Linked DNA regions of Drosophila melanogaster. Changing the gene in region 1 together with any one later gene gives a genetic interaction. Each region holds a gene or a part of one and is shown in the gene's direction. Other genes may lie near its edges. The genes, in order: Cortactin, Src42A, Pvr and mim.

Region 1 (4,995 bases):
TAGGTGTAAAAACTGGAATAGCTCGTGACCATGTGTGAAAAACTCCATAAACAAAAGCTTTTGCCAACTTCTTTTGGAGACCTCGATGGACTGTACCTCGAAATGTTTCAAAAATGTTTTGCAAATGCACTGAGCAATTCACTTAGTAATAAACCTTGATGACACACCTATTCTACTATAATTGCACGGCCTCGAGTACACTACTACTATATTTTGTGGACGGTGGAATGTGGCCACATCCGATTCCGGTGAGTAATGCTGAGCAAGGCACAGGCGCTCATACACAGTGCTTACTGTAGTTTGAAGTGCCTGTCGGGCAATTGAAGTTGATTGAATTACTAAATTAAGCAGGGCACTGGGGGATAGAGATATTTCGAAAAATTCCGCTTCTCATTCCTACGTAAAATGGGAAAGCAAGAAAGGAACAGAAAAGTTTACTTAGATTTCGTCGGAGATGAGAAAAGTCACACGCGTCGCGAGAGAAAACGCCAAAAGAGTGGGGCTTTTGCTTTTGAGTTTGATGATGTCATCTTTCGGTTTTGAATTTTTCTCCCACCCGAGGCTTTTATTATTGAAATATAAAGTAAATAGAGAAACAAGATTCTGGAGAATTCTCGCGATACCGCACCCACAACTAGAATTCTACAAAATGCCCATTTTGGAATGGCACAAATGAAAATTATCTTTGAGTGTTTAGCACACACTTTCTTTTCTCACTTTTCCGACTGATTTTCCGCTTGATTTTTTGCGATTTCTGGCACAGCGAGAGTAAACAATGAGTTTTATCTACAAATTCCTTTTGATTTACCAATGATATTCGATTTTCAACGTACAAGTCAGACGATGCGAACTGCAAGCGATGTGAATAAATACCATAGCTGTTTGCGCTCCGTCTTTGGCTTTTATACTCGCGCTCTCTCGCTGGAAGTCGATTAGAGATGAACCAACCGGCGATAGGTTGTTGTTGCTAGGAAATATTCGGTGGTAGCGCCTAACTGGAAGCTGGTATCTTCTGCGTCGTCATAGTATACACCGTAGAATCTAAAGTGTTCCGAGATGGATGAATCATCGGCATTGGAAGCTGTTGAGACATTCATGATATTTCCGTTGTGATAATGACGACATTGGGAAAATAAGATCTGATTACGCATTGAATTTCAAAATGTAACCTTTGACTTCAATATTCAGCCGTTAGGGCAATACAGTTAAATAAATATCCTGTTCCTTCCTAAGCCGTTTTATAACTATTTTTATTTGTATTTTTATAACTATATATAAAAACCAATTACGTTAATTGTCAGCCGACATCGAAGCAAATTCAAATCCAAAACTATCGATATATCGATGATATGTTTGCGGTTATATGAAAAAAGTCAACTCTTATACCTGTTAATTACCGTTCTGGCAGAATCTTATTAATTATACAAATTACTATGGCGCCACTTGGTATAACATCAAATACCTTTTGCCCGAGCACTCAGTTCTATTGATCACGATCACATATATTGGTACTGCAGTATATATCGGTGCATTGACTTATCGAATAAAGTAAAAGAACCACGACTGTATCTCTTAATCATTTAAATTGGGCGCCCCTAAAACTGCAGCAACTACCTTTTGTCAAGCTCATCACAATAATTTATCGGCTTTTCGTAGCATATCGATGCATCCATTGTATCGAATGAAATTTAGTTCAGTTAGTTTCCCGTTTGTTGGTCTCTTTATGAATCAATTGTTTAACCCTTCTCCTCCCAGAAATTTGCAGACATCCCTAGCGGCATCAGATCATAAGTTCCTCTTGCAGTAGGAGTTAGTCATCGGGATGTGAGTATACATATGAACATAGAGCGCCAGTGGCATCTTGTTCCCGATCCGGCTTTGTCGGCCCCTCCCTTCTTCGGTGTTTTGTGACTTGTTATCTGGGCCACGAATCGGAAGCGGAGCCCCTGCAACTGAAAACCTGCCCCGACTACTCACACTCGTCATGGTGTTTATCTATCTACCCAGCAGATAAGGATAAGCGAGTAACCAGCGACCAGAAACCGGTAAAAAGAATGTGGAAGGCAAGTGCCGGTCACCAGATTCAGGCCACCAGTGCAGCCTCCGCGGAGGACGACGACTGGGAGACGGATCCGGACTTCGTGAACGATGTCAGTGAGCAGGAGCAGCGCTGGGGATCAAAGACGATCGACGGCAGCGGTCGCACAGCAGGCACCATCGAGTGAGTCATCCGAAATTCTCGAAACACTGGGTATCGGGTTCATTGTTCCCTTTCTTTATTCTTTTTAGCATGGACAAGCTGCGCGAGGAGACGGAGCAGGCCGATCTGGACAAGAAGAAGCAGCTGCTGAAGGATCAGAACGCAGGATACGGATACGGGGGCAAGTTTGGCGTTGAGAAGGACCGCATGGACAAGTCGGCTGTGGGTCATGACTACCAGGGCAAGGTGGGAAAGCACGCCTCGCAGAAGGACTACAGCGATGGTTTTGGGGGAAAGTTCGGAGTGCAAGAGGATCGCAAGGACAAGTCTGCCGTGGGCTGGGACCACGTCGAAAAGGTCGAGAAGCACGCCTCCCAGAAGGATTACGCCACCGGCTTCGGAGGCAAATTTGGAGTGCAGTCCGATCGGGTGGATAAATCCGCCGTGGGCTGGGATCACATCGAGAAGGTGGAGAAGCACGAGTCTCAGAAGGGTAAGTTACCTAACGGAAATGAATTTCTCATTGATTTTTTCTTAGTATGTTCATGTCTGATTATTTTATTTATATCTTCTCCCAACATAAGATTACTCCAAGGGCTTTGGCGGCAAGTTTGGCGTTCAGGAGGACCGAAAGGACAAGTCCGCGGTGGGATGGGACCACAAAGAGGCTCCGCAGAAGCACGCCAGCCAGGTGGACCACAAGGTCAAGCCAGTCATCGAAGGTGCCAAGCCTTCCAATTTGCGTGCCAAGTTCGAGAATCTGGCTAAAAACTCCGAGGAGGAGTCACGTAAGCGGGCCGAGGAACAGAAACGTCTCCGTGAGGCCAAGGACAAGCGGGATCGGGAGGAAGCCGCCAAGAAGACTGTGGCCGAGAACACTCCTCGTACCTCGACGGAAGCACCGCCTCCAAAGGGCAGCAGGGCGGCCATCCAGACAGGTCGGACCGGTGGCATTGGCAATGCTATCAGTGCATTTAACCAGATGCAGTCGCCTGTTTCTGAAACCCCTCCAGCACGAAAGGAACCCATTATCATTCCCAAGGCGCAGCCTGTTAAAATAGAATTAGAAGCAAAGGAGGAGCCAACGGCAAGTACAACATCAGCTGCGGTTGCTCCTACTCCGACAGTGGTCCCCGCTCGAGAGCCGGAAACAGCTCCAGTGGCCAAGGCTGCAGCTCCACCACCAGATGTGGTGCCCCAAATTGAGGTTGAGACCGTGGACACGCCTCCCAGAAGTGAGCCGCAATCACCAGTGTATGTGCCGACGCCTCAACCCGAAGTCCACGCCCAAGTCCAAGTCCAACCTGAGCCGCAACCTCAAGCCGATCCTGAGCCAGTAGTTGAAGAAGAGCCACTGTACCAGAACCAGGCCGAGATTAAGGCTGCCTCGCCCTTGCCACCAACGAATGGAACCGTTTCAGAGGCTGTTGCTCCGAGTGGCACCGCAACCGTTCCCGAGGAGGCAATCTACGCGAACTCAGACAATTTGGCCGACTATCTGGAGGACACCGGAATCCACGCCATTGCCCTGTACGACTACCAGGCGGCGGATGACGACGAGATATCCTTTGATCCAGATGACGTGATCACCCACATCGAGAAGATCGACGATGGGTGGTGGAGGGGATTGTGCAAGAACCGCTACGGACTCTTTCCAGCCAACTACGTGCAGGTGGTGGGACAGAACTCATAAAAGCTTCCAATTGAAATTCACGATAGAACAAAATCAAATTGTATTTACATACTAACGAAAACGATAATACTGATGTTGGATTATAAACCATATAAACCAATTCGCAACTAACCCAGCCCATTTCCCATCCATTGTTTACCCTCTTAACCCTCCAAATTATGTGCAACGAATGGCTAGATATTGAATTATTATTGTAATTTGTTATGCTAGCACTTAAAGTAACCGTGGTATTCCATTTTTGATATATGTATCATTTATTGCATTTTACATTCTTTGTATTTAACACATTTATTTTACCAAGAAAATATGCCAAGCTATTTTAGATATCTCTCATTTCATATTTTATGCATTAGTTATGATATTTGTGTCAAGTAACGATTTTGGTTTTTTTGAATTGTATAAAGTCTACGAGAGTTTCCCGTGTCAGGTGATCTGATCTAATGTTAAAGACGGATCTAATGTTGAAGACAGTCACAAACAAAAAGTCTGCTCTTTTGATAAAGAAATACATAATTAATAAAGTTAAATAATAACGAGTTCTCTCTTAAATTGTGGTACTGATAGTTCGGGTGTTTTTGTTTTTTTTTAAGGCCTAACAAATCATTTTACTAAGTAAAATGATTTCATTGGATACGGGAATTCACAAATTTCTATAAGAAGATAAGAACGAGCATATTGTTGGGTTCCTTCTAATATCACGAGGATATCTCTATTTTGGGGTAGAACTGTCAAGGCCTTTCTTGGATGGGCCGAATTCTTATCTGCCTGTTCCGAACGCATCGTAATCTGGCAAAGTAGAAATTGTTACATGAAACGAGCTACTGACATGATTCATGGTGCAAATGTGAGTGCATATGGGCTCAACAAAGAAAGAGTACTTTGCATTGTGGTGATTAATTAGTTAAAAAACATACATAAGTAGGATGTACGGCCATATTGTAAATTTGAGCGCCAATCCCAAAAAGACTTGATAAGATTTATCGCAATTATTGGCGACGGATCGTAATCGAAAAAAGTGTCAGACGAAATCAAAGTTTTGACTGATAAAGTTGATGTATAAATTAAACTTCAAGGAGGTATTACGATAAAGTGTGCGTGTTGG
Region 2 (4,841 bases), on another chromosome or scaffold:
AAATAAATGGGTCCGATTTTCCAAATAATTATAATTTCAGCTCATATGCAGCGAATTTAGTATTTTTTGAACCTCCGTATTCATTATTCATTAATAATTCAAGCCATCCTTTATTTTACTCCCGTTGCCACTATAGGCTGCAATTGTTATTGAACATGACATCAGAAAATGTCGTTGAACCCACGAAGAGAAGGCAATTGTTTTAGAGAGCCACATGCAAGAGCCGTGTCGGCATTTATTCATATTTCCCTGTGTTCATGCGTGGTGAAGTTCCGATTTAGTTGAGCGTTCTTCTTTCGGCTCAGGTGAAGTGTGTGTGTGTGTAGACAAATCATTCGAGTTTGTGGCAAGTCAATAATACTCAATAGAAGGCAATTGTTTTAATAATTTGTCAGTAGCTAAAAAAAAACATAAGTGACAACAGACTCGGTCGTCGCTCTCCAGGAAGGTCGAACGACTACATTTTAATTGACTCAGTGATATAGTGTTAATTTTTAGCTGATACGTCCGATAAAGACTACATATACTAACGGTGAACGTGTTGATGTTATAGGAATTTGAATTAGCGTAAAATTGCACAGGAAGCAAATATTCACCTAGTCTGGCTGGGCATTAATTGACTCGTAATTTACGTAGAGGTAAATACACACATTTCAATCAGATTAGGACAGTAGAAGGAGACGAAATCGCATTTTGTCGATACAGTTTGGTGTGTGGCTAGATTTGATTTCAGTTATACGACCTGTAAGCTGTGACTTTGTGCTGTAATATTGTAAAAGTTAATTTAAAATGAAAAAAGAATATACTGCTAAGTTAGATAACCGTATACTTCAGTGATATTGGCCATACTGCCTAACGTTTTTATAAAAGTGTCCTTTTATTTATTTATTTTGCATTACACAACCCGTTAAAGTTAACATTTAACACTTTCTGTTTACTTTTTATTTCCAGGTAAGTCCCAATATTTCAGTATTTAAGGGTTTTGTGGTCAGGGAAACGGAGAATCTGAGCCATCGACGTAAACACATGTGTTTATATGTGCACATGAATTTCTATTTACATAAGGGAGCTCAGGAACACTCATATTTGGTCAAGTGTTAAATCAAAGTGACTAACGACTATGTTTATAGATTTTGCCCTCCGACTTTTCGCAAAATATCCCCAGGTATTCGTTAATATATTCTTAATATTAAATGGTATGTCCAGGCGCGAGTCCCCACTGCGAGTCCCTTCTGGATTGGATACTAGCCATTAGTATTCCCACGATGTAGACTCTAATATTTTCTATTTCAGCAATGTTCCATAGCATACCTTATCAATGACGAGTTCAATGGCGTTCACAAGAACCCAAGCGGAGACATTTAGAAACAAATAATTTGATTTCCAGTGACGCGACAGTGCTGAGTTATTTTGGTTACGTGAACAAATTAATACAACCTGACATTTTGTCAGTAACAGCGACGAGTTAATTGTTTTCAACTCGATTTGATCTTTGCAATCAACGCACTTTGTGACTAATTGTTGTCGTAATTACAAAACTGTGCAGTTTATCTCGGAGCATCTTAAGAGAGAGGCACTTGGAGACGAAGAGCGAGACCACTCTTCGACGAGCCATTGGACTTCTGGGCCAAGATAAAAGAGACTAAGCACACAAAGATGGATCGAAGAGCGAGAGAGCGGGAACGGTTGGCCAACACGCGGGCAGCGAGCTTGGCTCAAATGGCACACACATAGATGCCAAGGCGGCGGGTGCGAGTGTGTCGGTGCGGTGGCAAGCGGTTAAAACCTTTCTATAAAAATTTCATAAACGTATCAGTTGTCTGCGAAGCGGTGCACAAAACGGACGTGTAAACGGAAGCCGCACGAAAACGGCTCGGAAATCGGAATAGCGCCCGTACACGCAGCACATAGGAAATCGAATCCGAATCTGAGTTAAATGCCTTAATCGAATTTGGCCAAAGCTCGCCTACCGCGCTTACAAGTTTTTTCGTTCACGGGCCGATGAAATCTATATAATCTATTATCCACAAGCCACCACAGAGCCACTAGATGCACTGTGCGGCGCATGCGCGACCTGTTTGTGTTGTTGGCATACTTCTAACAGTCAGTGTTTTCTTTGTTCAAAAGTGCCTCAAGTAAAACCCCACTTTGATATGGATAAGTGGTAACAAGAGCAGCAGTAGCAGCAAAACTGGAAAAGGTACAAGCCCAGGGAAGCTGCAGTGTGCGGAACATTCCTCTGGTGGATCCGAACTCAGAAAAAGATGGGAACAGAACTTTCTATTTTCTTTACTGTTTCGCGTGTGTTTCGCTGGTCATGCAAACATATTTTCTTTGCCTCGGCGCATGCCGCTGGAATTAGAACGGTGTATTCCGTGCGGAATACAAAGTCGAGCTTATTTCGTAAGAGAATTCCTGCGAATCTGGTTATGCAATGCCTGACAGCCCACAAAGTCGTCCTCAAGTTGTTGCGAACTTTATCGTTTACTATGTGCTAAAATGCACAACTGGCTTGCCAAACGGGTGATACATTTTTGTAAGTGCTAAAGCGCTCAGTTCCGTGCACATGAACTTTCTTATACACTGCTGTGCACTTCCACGGCGTTTTTTTTTTTCAGACACCATACCAGGCCTCAGAAATCATATCAATTTCGACTTACGTGACTTGGGCAAACTGCGCCATTTCGCACATATTCTTTGCGTTTAGGCTAAGATTTAAGTTGGCTCTCAGGCTTGGAATTAGCGGAGTTTAGGGCCTTCTTTTATATCGCTTTTCAGCCTTCTCTTGCTGCACTGTGCCGTGGTCGTAAATTTCCTGCGTCATGAGTCATGCCTGTCAGTCGGAGTCGCTTAACAACAGCAGTGGTAGCAGAAAAAAGATAAAGATACAGATACAAAATATTCAGTTGAAAAACACATGAAAATTGCTTTCATGGTATTGAGTGTGGAGCTCCAGATGAGCTAAAGAGAGGCAAAAAAGCTCATTGTTTATGGTAGCTGGCTTCGTGGTCCGCTCTTTGTTGTTGGCATTCCGAGCTGTAACCTCTGATTGTGATCCCTTCGAATTACTCCTTTCAGTTCATTGGTTCTCTCTTCAGCTCCTGCCACTTAAGCTATTAACTGTGGACCGTGCACTTTCCCAAAAACCTCTTATACATACGCTGACGATACTTTGTTTTCAGTTAGAATAAATAAATACAGTAAGGGAATAAAATAAATGTGGTTTTTAAAGCATATATGTGCAATCTCGGAGTCACGTTCCTACTGGAATATTTGCGTCGTCCTTGCACTTCTCTTTTTTGAGTAACGGGTATTTGTTAGTCAAAGAACTCGCTTTGGTGTTTTCTCTTGTTTTTTTAAGAGTGTTGGCGCCACAAAATATTTGATGAATGTGAAGGACGTTCAATTTCTTTTAGTTTCTCTCTTAAAAAAACAATTTTTTTATTAAATTAAGTACACGAATGTCGCGGATATTAATATATATGAAAAGTTCGACATATCGAATAAATTCGAATTCCATGAGTGGAAGGGAACTAAGTCTCGTCACCATTGTGCAATGACCTAAATCACGGTCATAAAATCAAAGCCAAACTTTTTTTTACCATAAGTTTTGTTGTGTTGGTTGAGGTTGTCGGTCAATGGCTATGTTTTTGCTGGCCAAATAGCTTACTTTTGATTTCCACATTAATGGAGCGCAGCAAGCGAATCACAATGTTATTTGCATTAAATTTTTTTGGAGTCACGGAGAAAGTACGCACAAAAGCTATAAATTAGACGGCATCACACAGCTTCTTAATTCCTATCGCTCTCTTGCAATGATTCACTTTTTTTTGGCTACGCAACGTAGACTCGCTCACAGATTTGGCTGAAAACCATCATGTCGAATGGCAACAGAAAGAGTTAGTGTTTGATTTTCGAGGTTTACTAGTTGTGGATTGGCGCACTAGAAGGAAATAACAAAAAAGCAGACAAACATAAAAAACGTTAAACCGGTTCAATTTGGGTCGTAGTACCTTTGAGTGCAATTGTTACCTTTCAGAAACAACGACAACAAAGACTTCGCCAATCGCACTCCATTCCACTCGCTCTGCAGCTCATTATACCCGTTATTATGTTCGTCTTGTTCAGTTTTCTTGGCACGCGTTACCGTAAAAAAAAAAAACTCCCACACAAGCAACCGAAAACACATCGAGCGATATTTTGTAATGACCATGCTTCGAATCGGTTACCATAGGTCAGTCAACAAGTTCGGTGTGAGTTGAGCTTTTATTCAGGGATAAACGCACCGTAGTCTTTTTGTTCATACTCGGTTAGTAACAAAAACTATACAAATCTTTAAAACACTCGAACAATTTTGGTCTTTTTGTACAACTTAACGTATGTAAGAATGTGTAAAATATTGTAAAACACAACGATTTTCTACTAATGTTTTTAAAACATTTTAAAGATATTTTTAAAATATCATATACCGATTCCTCTGAAGTCCACCTACGGCTGTCTAATTCGCTAGATGTTGACTGTAAAAGGTACAGGGTTTTAAAATTGTTTCAATAAAGCAAAATGTTCCCGGATATGTTTCGATCAAGAATATATATATATATATACATTTTATATATACTTTTCAACGAATCTAATTTCCGCTTTTTATCTTCAACTACAGGAATAAAAATATAATTTCTTGGTACACGACAGTATTAGTCCTTGACGTCCGACTCGTGACAAAAACTGCTAAAAGATATAGATTACTATATGCATCAGAGCTTTCAATAGCCTTTCGAAAACAAGACGGGTTCAACTGGTTTTATACAACGTCGTTGCTGTTATGGTTATTGTTGGTGTTT
Region 3 (4,694 bases), on another chromosome or scaffold:
GCCAGGGCAAAGACAGCCCAAGAAATGAGGAATGTTTTGAAACTGCCCGATGACAAAAAGGAAGTGGCAGCCAAATACAAGGACCTTCTGAGTAAACTCGAAGGACGCGAGAAGGTAGCCACTCTCAGTTTGGCTAATCGCATATACGTGAACAAAAAGTTCCAGCTAGTACCGAGTTACAATCAGATGGTCAAGGATTCATTTATGGCTGAAGCGGAGGCAATCGACATTGTCGATCCCAATAAGGCTTCTTCAATTGTCAATAATTGGGTAGATAATCAGACGCGTGGTAAAATCAAAGACTTAGTTTCATCCAATGACATGTCGAAAATGGAATTGATCGTCTTAAATGCCATATACTTTAAAGGCCAGTGGGAGTACAAATTTAATCCCAAGTTAACGAAGAAGAGGAATTTCCGTGTTTCGGATCAAAAGAGTGTTCCTGTCGAGATGATGTCACTATTTCAATCATTTAGGGCCGCACATGATAGTGAACTGGGTGCCAAAATTATCGAGCTGCCCTACAGAAATTCAAGCCTGTCCATGCTAATTTTTCTACCGGACCAGGTCGATGGACTATCAGAGCTGGAGAAAAAGATTGTAGGATTCAAACCGAAACTTTCCAAAATGGATGTAACTTTAAGGCTTCCCAAGTTTAAAATCGAATTCTTCGCTCAACTAAACAAAGTTCTTGTGGCGGTGAGTATTCACAGATTATTCTTGATACACCCTTACAATTTATAGATATTCATCTATAGATGGGCATACAAGATGCGTTCGAAAAATCTGCTGACTTCAAAGATCTGGTCGAAAACAGTAACGTTCATGTGAAAAAAGTCATTCATAAGGCGTTCATCGAGGTTAATGAAGAAGGAGCTGAGGCAGCGGCTGCAACAGGTATGATATAATTTTATTATATATATATTTGTATAATATGTTTTATTTTTGCCAGCTTTACTTTTCGTGCGCTATAGTATGCCTATGCCGTCATCTCAAATGGTTTTTAATGCCGATCATCCTTTTGCCTATGTCATTCGCGATAGGGAAACCATTTATTTCCAGGGCCACTTTGTGAAACCGAATGAATAAAATGTACTATTTCTTATCAATAATAAATGGAAATTGTATTATACTTTATTGTAGAATAAAAGGATTTACCAGTTTCCTGAAAATATTTAATAGGTGGAAAGTAGTGAAAATGCTATAGTCGAGACCCTTATAAATCACAATCCCCTTACTCAGCTGACAAATCGTTAGAAATGCTTAAATGATACTAAATATTATTTAATAAAAGAAAACTTTATTTTAAGCACTTCGATCTAAAACTAAAACCGTTAGGAAATTTAGTACGCATGGCATCACTGGCCGCCACTGGCCAACTGGAACTGTTTTCAAGCGGTCTGGCATCGCCGCGAATAGCGTGATTGCGTTCAATTTTTAGCTCGTTATTTAGTACACTTCACCTTTCAAAATAATAATGAAATAATAATAAAAGGAAACTAAACGAGAGATAAACTCCCTAACGAAACAAGAAAATTCAAATGATGTTGACTAAAGATATAACAAAAATATTATTCTATCCGTTCTATTCTACATGCTGTAGATAACGCTCATCGATAGCAAAAAATAACAATCGAATCGGATACCTCGATAGTACCGTCGATAGTGCCCCAGCTCTAGTTAACGTTAACTTTTCGAGCTGTTCGGACGTCAAAGCGGAAGGAAATTTCGCGGGCTTTTGACTTGTGTTCGGTGCAAACTGTTCAAACTTTGCCGACGACGCAGTATTTATTGTCTTTCAAGAGCAACCGATACTGCTGAAGTGCCCCACGCAGAAAGTGTTAAGCACAGAAAACCACAACGTAAGCGTTAATTTTTGAAAGGCTCGAAGATACGTCCGATAATATAGATATAGAATCGTGTGGAAACGAAACCAAATCGTGTCGTATATAAGTATAAGTGAAGCATCAAAGGTGCTAAGCAAATGAATCCGCACTCAAAAGTTTAGATATCGATGTGAGCGAACCCCCACACCTTCGCAAAAGTAAAAAACAAACACAGATACGAATCGGAATTCGAATACAAGTGCAAACTCAGCCACAGGTGGTTGACAAGAGTTCTAAGTGATTGTCAATCGTAAGCTCGAAAATCGAAATCGAATTCGGCGCTCGTGATGTTGCTCAATTCGATGCAATTATACAAAAAAAAAACACCCAAAATAGTCATGGTCACTATGCTCCTATAGATGGTGTACATAATGAACTATTATCAGTGACCTTTTTCTAAGTGCGTGTGTGTGTGTGTGTGCTATTATCACTGCCTGGTATTATTCATTGATAAGTGCATATAAGTGTTGGGTCTACGAAAAGTGTGCGTGTGTCTATGGTGAATACGTCAGCGGCATTCCAAGTAATCAAGACTGCAAACATCCACCGGTGCCAGGTATTCAAATCGTGATTCATCGCCGATCGTGACTGTTGTACGTTCAAAAGTTGTTGTTGTATCTTCAATAGTTGTTGTTGTTGCCAAGCTGCTGCGATCAAACGGTAGACTGCGTAAGACTATGAAAATATGAATAACACTACGATGGATTTCGAATTTACTCATACTGCTTTTCCAGAAACACCCAAATAAAGTTGGTATATATACATATATATGTACATATATATATAGAAGAAAGGGTTCACCTTTCTTTTGTTTGCCTGGTCAACTGAATGTGTCTATAGCGACTTTCTTAAACCGGTTCCACGCCATCCGTTTCTTGACCAAACGAACTGTTGATACATTTTCCCCCAATACGTGACTCAGGATCGAGAAGTTCTGATCAAATCAGATGCCCATAATTCATTGCCTCCAATTGCACACTGTGCCCAATTTGTTTATTGAATACAGACCTCCTTCAGTTTGCCGACTGCTCCATTTATCTCTGGCCACTTCAAAAGGCTGCCCAGCCCAGGCTGTTGTTAATTGCCATCGTTCTCAATGTCCGGAAAATGTGGTACAAAACTGCTACGAATCGTCAAAGTTTGGAGTCATAAAAATGTCCGCGAATGGTGTTGATGAAATATTTATTGTAATTCCCCTGGCCAAATTCGCAATTCACCTGGCATCAAGCGTTGAACAACTGTTGTGATAAGCCAGAATAATCAATGGATACTAGTGGTTCTTGGAAAATGTGCACCCATCACATTGCTACTGGCCACTTGCACCTCTTTTTCACACCTACCCATTATGCACATGGCACATTAATCAGGTGGGGCTTATGGCCAAGTATCCACCAGATACGCACACCTGCCCCGCCCCCCGCAGTGGGTGTCAAATTAGAGATACTTTACTGTAGTTGATTGTGCTGAAGTAGAGAGCTCCATTACGAATAAATTACTTTGTATGCACTGGAAAAAATGAACAAAGTAGTTCTTTCGCATTAATAGAAACTAATTATAAATACACACAAAATATTTAAGCAGAACTCGCCGAAAATAGACTTCAAAATAATCAAAGAATGTGTGTGACAACGAATTTGTGTGCATTTCAAGCGATTGTAATATCTCTAGAGATATTTAGAATGCTGATATGTATTATTGCACAAGAGATCTTTTTAATCTCAAGAGGATTGCTTATGCACAGAAGATTGACTTCCTGTTGTAGATAAAAACACTAGAATTGAGTTTAGGTACATTTTGTACATCTGTAGAGAGAAAAATCATTTTGCGTTTCTCTAAGGCAGTTCGGATAAGCTGAAACATTTTTGAGAAACCCCTTAACTCTTTGGGCGAATTGGCTCATAAATTTCCATTTAAGATAATATCTGTTTAATTGAATTTGCCGGTTACCAATAAGCCATAAATAAAACCGATTCGTTGGACAATCTCGGCCAGCATTGAACACGTTTTCACACCACTTTGTTGGTTGGCTGGCTGGTTGGTTGGTTGGTTTGGCATTCTATGAATGGACACCTTCGCCTCTTTACATCCGCCGTGGTCTGAGTCAGAACGTAAATAATAAATAACAAATAATAAATTGACAGCGGACAACAAATGTTTTGGCCAGGCCATTGTAACTGTCTGCATGGAGAGGTGGAAATAACTTGGCCATAAATCTGCAAAAAAAAAGGCTAAGCAGGCAATTGGCTTTCACCTGAGCCCTAGACTAAAGCCCATTCATAAGCGCTGGAAACTTTAGACTAAAGCCCATTCGTTGGGAAAATTTTATCTGCCCCATAAACTGCACGTAATCAAGTGCACTTCGGAGAATCAGGGAAATAAGAAAATATATGTATATATATATATAAAAGCAATCTTATTTCCGTCGGGAATAAAATGGCAGAAGGCAGCCAGCCAGTCAAAACAAAAAATGCATTGAGTAAACAAATCGCATAAAATTGAGCCATGTTTTGAGGTCACGGCGAGGCACTAAATGGGCTATATACATTGGCCATATTTATTTATTAATCGGGCGAAACCCAAAACAAACAAATTAAACACTTGTCGGCTATTAAGTGAACGCATATAACATTTCTATTTATTCGCCAGCAGCTGGCCAACCAACCAACTTGTTGTCGCCACGCGTTGTAGTTGTATAATATGTGGGCAGAATGCCAACGATTCAATTTCACCGGCAATGGTCTTTCTATTATTTTTATTAAGTTCCCAGTTTATGGAAAAGAAAAGAAACAACTTTTCCAAATCTCTCGA
Region 4 (5,013 bases), on another chromosome or scaffold:
GGGATTCTACGCCTGCCTCAAGCCGTTCATCTTGGCGCTGGACCTGAAGCTAGTCCACCAAATAATCTTCACCGACGCGGGACACTTTACGTCCCGAGGCCTTTATAGTAATCCCAGTGGAGAGCCGCTGTCGCATAATCTCCTTCAGCTGGACGGTCACAAGTGGCGGTCACTGCACGCCAAATCTGCAGAGGTTTTCACTCCGGCCAACATGCAGAAGCTGCTGGTCAGACTGTCGCAAATCTCCTCCAGAATTCAAAGGGACCTGGGCGAAAAGAGCCTTCAAACTATCAATATAAGCGAACTCGTGGGTGCATACAATACGGACGTTATGGCGTCAATGGCCTTTGGACTAGTAGGGCAGGATAACGTGGAGTTCGCTAAGTGGACGCGCAACTACTGGGCGGACTTTAGGATGTGGCAGGCTTATCTGGCGCTTGAGTTTCCGCTCATCGCTCGCCTTCTTCAGTACAAAAGCTACGCAGAACCTGCTACAGCTTACTTCCAAAAAGTGGCCCTGTCGCAGTTGCAGTTGCATCGAAGAAGGGATCGCCAGCCACTCCAGACCTTTCTGCAGCTATATTCCAACGCAGAAAAGCCGCTCACCGACATCGAGATTGCGGGCCAAGCCTTCGGCTTCGTTCTGGCTGGCTTGGGCCCCCTGAATGCCACCCTAGCATTCTGCCTCTACGAGTTGGCCCGCCAGCCTGAGGTGCAAGATCGAACCAGGCTCGAGATTAACAAGGCACTGGAGGAGCATGGTGGCCAAGTGACACCGGAGTGCCTAAGGGAGCTCAGGTATACGAAGCAAGTCCTCAATGGTGAGTACCAAATATTGAAAAGCTCTTTATAGCTCCAATGACTTCACCTTTTTTTTAGAAACGCTTCGCCTGCACACTCCACATCCCTTCCTGCTACGCCGGGCTACCAAAGAATTCGAAGTGCCCGGATCGGTGTTTGTAATTGCCAAAGGCAACAATGTGCTGATACCAACGGCGGCGATACACATGGATCCTGGCATTTATGAAAACCCCCAGCGGTTCTACCCGGAGCGCTTTGAGGAACAGGCAAGGCGATCCCGCCCGGCAGCTGCGTTCCTGCCTTTCGGCGATGGCCTGCGAGGATGCATTGCCGCTCGCTTTGCAGAGCAGCAGCTTCTGGTGGGCCTGGTGGCTCTGCTGAGGCAGCACAGATACGCTCCCTCTGCGGAGACCTCGATTCCCGTGGAGTACGACAACCGGAGACTGCTCTTGATGCCCAAGTCGGACATCAAACTCAGTGTGGAACGGGTGGACAAGCTTTAAAGGAGGCTCTGCTGGAGCATCGCATATTTTGTATTGTTTGCTTTACAAAGCGTTTAAGTTGTTTTTATATTTGTATATGCACCTTTTTCGTTGATTTTCCTAAGCTGTGGACTTGTGTGATAATGCTGACGATGACTTTTATAATCTTTTGCACCAAGCTCAACAACGTGAACAAATAAATAATTTAGTTGTTATATCGAACACTTTCATACCATCGGAAAATAGGACTCTTAAAAAGAATTCTATGCATAAAAGGTGAATTTGCAGCAAATGCAGAGGCCATTATTTAAAGTAAACGACGTTAAATTTATATAATTTGTTTTCAATCTATAGAATTCATGGTTTTCCAAATTAACACTCATTTAGCCCGAGTGCTTAGTTAATGTCTTCGGCACTTCCGTTTCCTAGGAACTCTACTCTAAAACATGAGTTATTCTCTTCAAATTTTTATAACAAAATTTTTGGTTTTTTATTCAATTGACTTTTATGTCAACTGGAACATCGAACGCGCCAAAAATAACCATATTTTCAATTTTAAAAGTTTGCATGATAGGTAACATTCCCGATTCGCAGAACGGTTAACAGCGAATGTGACCTCGCTGCCAAGTGATTTTTCCTAGACGTGGTCACACTACAGAGGTGTATTTTCCCAGCTTCGAGCGATGGTCACACTGACCCAGACACTCGACTCTCGAACGAATCGGTCGCGGTTGTTTTACGGTTTTTTGTTTGTCTATAGGAAAGCCCTTTCGCACCGGAGGAAAACGAAAATGCGCTCGGAAAGTCAGTCGTAGACTTGGCGAAAATAGCGGTTGCAGCGGCAAACTTCTAACTGTTTTCTAACCGGAAAAGGAATGCGCGAACCAATTGGAAGTGCAGTTCGAAGTGCGAGCATATAAGTGTCAGATTCGGTGCAAAAATAAGCGAATAATTGTTTGCGATTTCCCGAGGAAAACGGAAAATTAAGCGTCTGTCTGCCAGCCCACTGTGTGCGTGTGTGTACGTGTGTCTGTGAGTGTATAACATAACAGAAAACAAAACAACAACAACAACAGCAGCAGCAGCAACAACAAGGCAGTCAGGATCAACGGTTCTGGGGTAGTTTGTTTGAGTTTGAACAAAGCAAAGAAAAGCAAATGCAAAAGCAAAGCACACGAAACTGGGCGTAAGAAGGAGAGAGAGGAAATAGAGGGGAATAACGGGAGAATACACCCCGCTCGCACTCACAACCGCTTCTATCCTTTGTGTGCGCTTTTGCCGCCTGGAAATGCAATGCTAGAACAACAACAACACCGTGACCGCAGAAGTGCAAGCATCAACATCATCGCCTAATTGTCTGCAACATCGTCGGCCGAAAAATCAAGCAAGCTGCATAAAGTCGCCCTGCGATATTTTACAGTCGGAAGTGCACCGTAAGTATCCTTCAAGAACAACAAAAAGAATCGAGTGTGGGCTAATAATGCCAATTACTGGGGTTGGGAGAGGGGCGAAGAGCGTTGGCTAGGGGGATGGAGTAAGGGGAGGGAATGGAAGCTGCAGTTCACCAACAACAAGTTTGGACCGATTCCAGGTCCAAGGACTTCCAGTGACCATTCCAGGCGGTCGTGAGAACCGAAAACTCCGTTCACGGCCAATCCAAACAGGATTTGTTATACACGTTAAAAAAAAGGAGTTTCATAAAAAATGTTTAGGTTTTATATATTTGTAATTTTGTTTTGAAGAAAACATATCTTTGATGGCCAGCAACATAATAATAATAATAATTTCTATAACAAAATCAACAACCAATTTCATGTAACTAATTCTTTTTGTAAGATAAATTAGTGAATTATTAAACCTCTTGAAGTCAAACAATATACATTTAGTGATTTTTGACAAATTGTGCCAATGAAGTGCTGTGAAGTGTTTTCGGTCCACAAAATTTGTGCGAAGTCAGATTTTCCGATTTTTCGACTGCCATAAAGTTTTCTCTGTGCACAACTCCCCTTTTGAAGTTGCGCGGTAATTGCGCAAGTGCAGGGACTTCTCTTTGGACTGTGTTACCTGAACTCGGTTTATCTGAACAAGCTAATTTTTTGTCCGACTCCGAATGGGTCGTTTTTTCGCGAGGTGGCGGCTTTGTGTTCCTTTCAACCCGTAATCGCAACAGGAACCGGAGCGGCACGTTGACACCCATGGTGCGGACTAAATGCTCGAAAGTTGAGTTCCCATTCCCGGCTCCCTTATCGCACGTCTCGTTCTCTTTGCATACCTTTCAAACGACTTTTGTGCGCGCCGTCAAATGGAGCAGATAAGCGTAATTATTAAAATATTATTGCCGGGGTTTGTTTACGTCCCGGGAATGTTTTCTCGCGCATTTGTCTAAACAAATGATGCAGAACTTTCCAGCAACGGAGACCGTTTGGCCTGAAATGTCGGCCGGTGCATTCGCCAAGTCGCTATATCGTATATACTATACGCTGCTTAGACACAAAGTAGTACTCAAATTCGAAAGGATGCCTTGGGCTATCTGATTCGCGTGGAGTAACCCAATCCGCAAACCATCCAACTGCCGCACCTGTGCAATTGCCAAAAACGAGAGAATCCAAAACAACAGAGGGTCTCAGAAAGAAAGATAAAATTAGCCACAAACAGCTGTCGGCCATTGGCAAGAAACTTGCTCCTGCACCGAGAGAAAAAACCTGTATTTCGAACGTGATCGTTTGGAGGAAACCTAAATGTTTTACCTAAATTGGAAAATCATACATTTTGATATACTAAGAGAAGGAAATTAATGTTCCTTCTTACTAAAATGATAAAAATATAAAAATAAGTGAAATATTATAATTTGAAAACGAGCAACTTTTTTCGGTGATCTTACTACGCTTATATAAACAGAAACCAGGCACTTGCGCCTTAACAAAATGCAAACAGAAATTCACAAAAGCAGAAAAACAAATACCAGTGAATATAAAAAAATATTGTGTCCTATGGAGAAAGGCCGCTCCAACTGACCAACCCCCACCTCCACCTCCGTTGCATAGAAACAACAACATTCTTTCACAAGCACGAGAGCAAGGCCAAAACAAAGGAAAAACGTTAACTGTTTGTTGTGCAAATATGTTTTCTCATTGATGGTTTTCGAAAAATTAATACTCGTAATATTTTGAATGTTCTTTAGCCTACTGTAAACACAAAACCCCCATTCAGTATTTTAGCTGGATCACTTCAGTTCTAAAGGCGCTAATAGTTTTTCCCACTAAATGTAAAATAATTGGTACATTATTCATATATCTTTAATACTCGCCTTTCGGAACCGCTGTTACGTCCTCTTTACATTATAATGCGGCAACTGTTTTCAATTGGTAAACAAGAAAAAACGGCTGAAAACTTGTAAAACTTTTAAGTCACTTAGCCTGAATGTCTGCATTTGTTTAGCATGTCGCTGCGCTGCTGCAATTCGAGTTTCTCGCTGCCCACTCACAAAAAGATTTTCGTTTTCGTTTGATTGGTGAACTGCATGGGCGTTCCTTGTTGTTTGAATGAATCTGAGTTCGAATGAGTCCGCGACTCTAGACTGCTGGATCGCCCACTCGAGTGGAATCTTTCGTAACCACTTTCGATTTTCGGGGTTCGTCCTAATGAAAATCGTGTCTAATCCAACCCGAGATTCGCCTTCGCCTCAAGCGGTTTTCACTTGGGGTGGGCTGCGTGCGGCTGAATTGCGCTG

What was found.
Region 2: of Cortactin (region 1) and Src42A, changing one suppresses a phenotype caused by changing the other (phenotypic suppression), as found in Drosophila melanogaster (one study listed by BioGRID).
Region 3: of Cortactin (region 1) and Pvr, changing one suppresses a phenotype caused by changing the other (phenotypic suppression), as found in Drosophila melanogaster (one study listed by BioGRID).
Region 4: of Cortactin (region 1) and mim, changing one suppresses a phenotype caused by changing the other (phenotypic suppression), as found in Drosophila melanogaster (one study listed by BioGRID).

Annotation. Positions count from the first base shown.
Region 1 is NT_033777.3:21,061,124-21,066,118, reverse strand, and holds Cortactin (cortactin), read left to right. Parts: upstream 1-1,647; 5' UTR 1,648-1,696; exon of another isoform or gene 1,697-1,755; 5' UTR 1,756-1,824; intron 1,825-2,007; exon of another isoform or gene 2,008-2,010; 5' UTR 2,011-2,054; coding exon 2,055-2,221; intron 2,222-2,289; coding exon 2,290-2,693; intron 2,694-2,784; coding exon 2,785-3,893; 3' UTR 3,894-4,439; downstream 4,440-4,995.
Region 2 is NT_033778.4:5,991,178-5,996,018, forward strand, and holds the start of Src42A (Src oncogene at 42A), read left to right. Parts: upstream 1-1,814; 5' UTR 1,815-2,200; intron 2,201-4,841. UniProt on the Drosophila melanogaster protein: Required directly or indirectly for the phosphorylation of drpr which is necessary for the interaction of drpr with shark and subsequent glial phagocytic activity.
Region 3 is NT_033779.5:8,236,860-8,241,553, reverse strand, and holds the start of Pvr (PDGF- and VEGF-receptor related), read left to right. Parts: upstream 1-1,675; 5' UTR 1,676-1,862; exon of another isoform or gene 1,863-2,635; intron 2,636-4,694. Other genes in the region: Spn28F (serpin 28F), read left to right, coding at 1-699, 759-897, 953-1,089.
Region 4 is NT_033778.4:6,968,596-6,973,608, reverse strand, and holds the start of mim (missing-in-metastasis), read left to right. Parts: upstream 1-1,971; 5' UTR 1,972-2,716; intron 2,717-5,013. Other genes in the region: Cyp6u1 (cytochrome P450 6u1), read left to right, coding at 1-821, 880-1,304.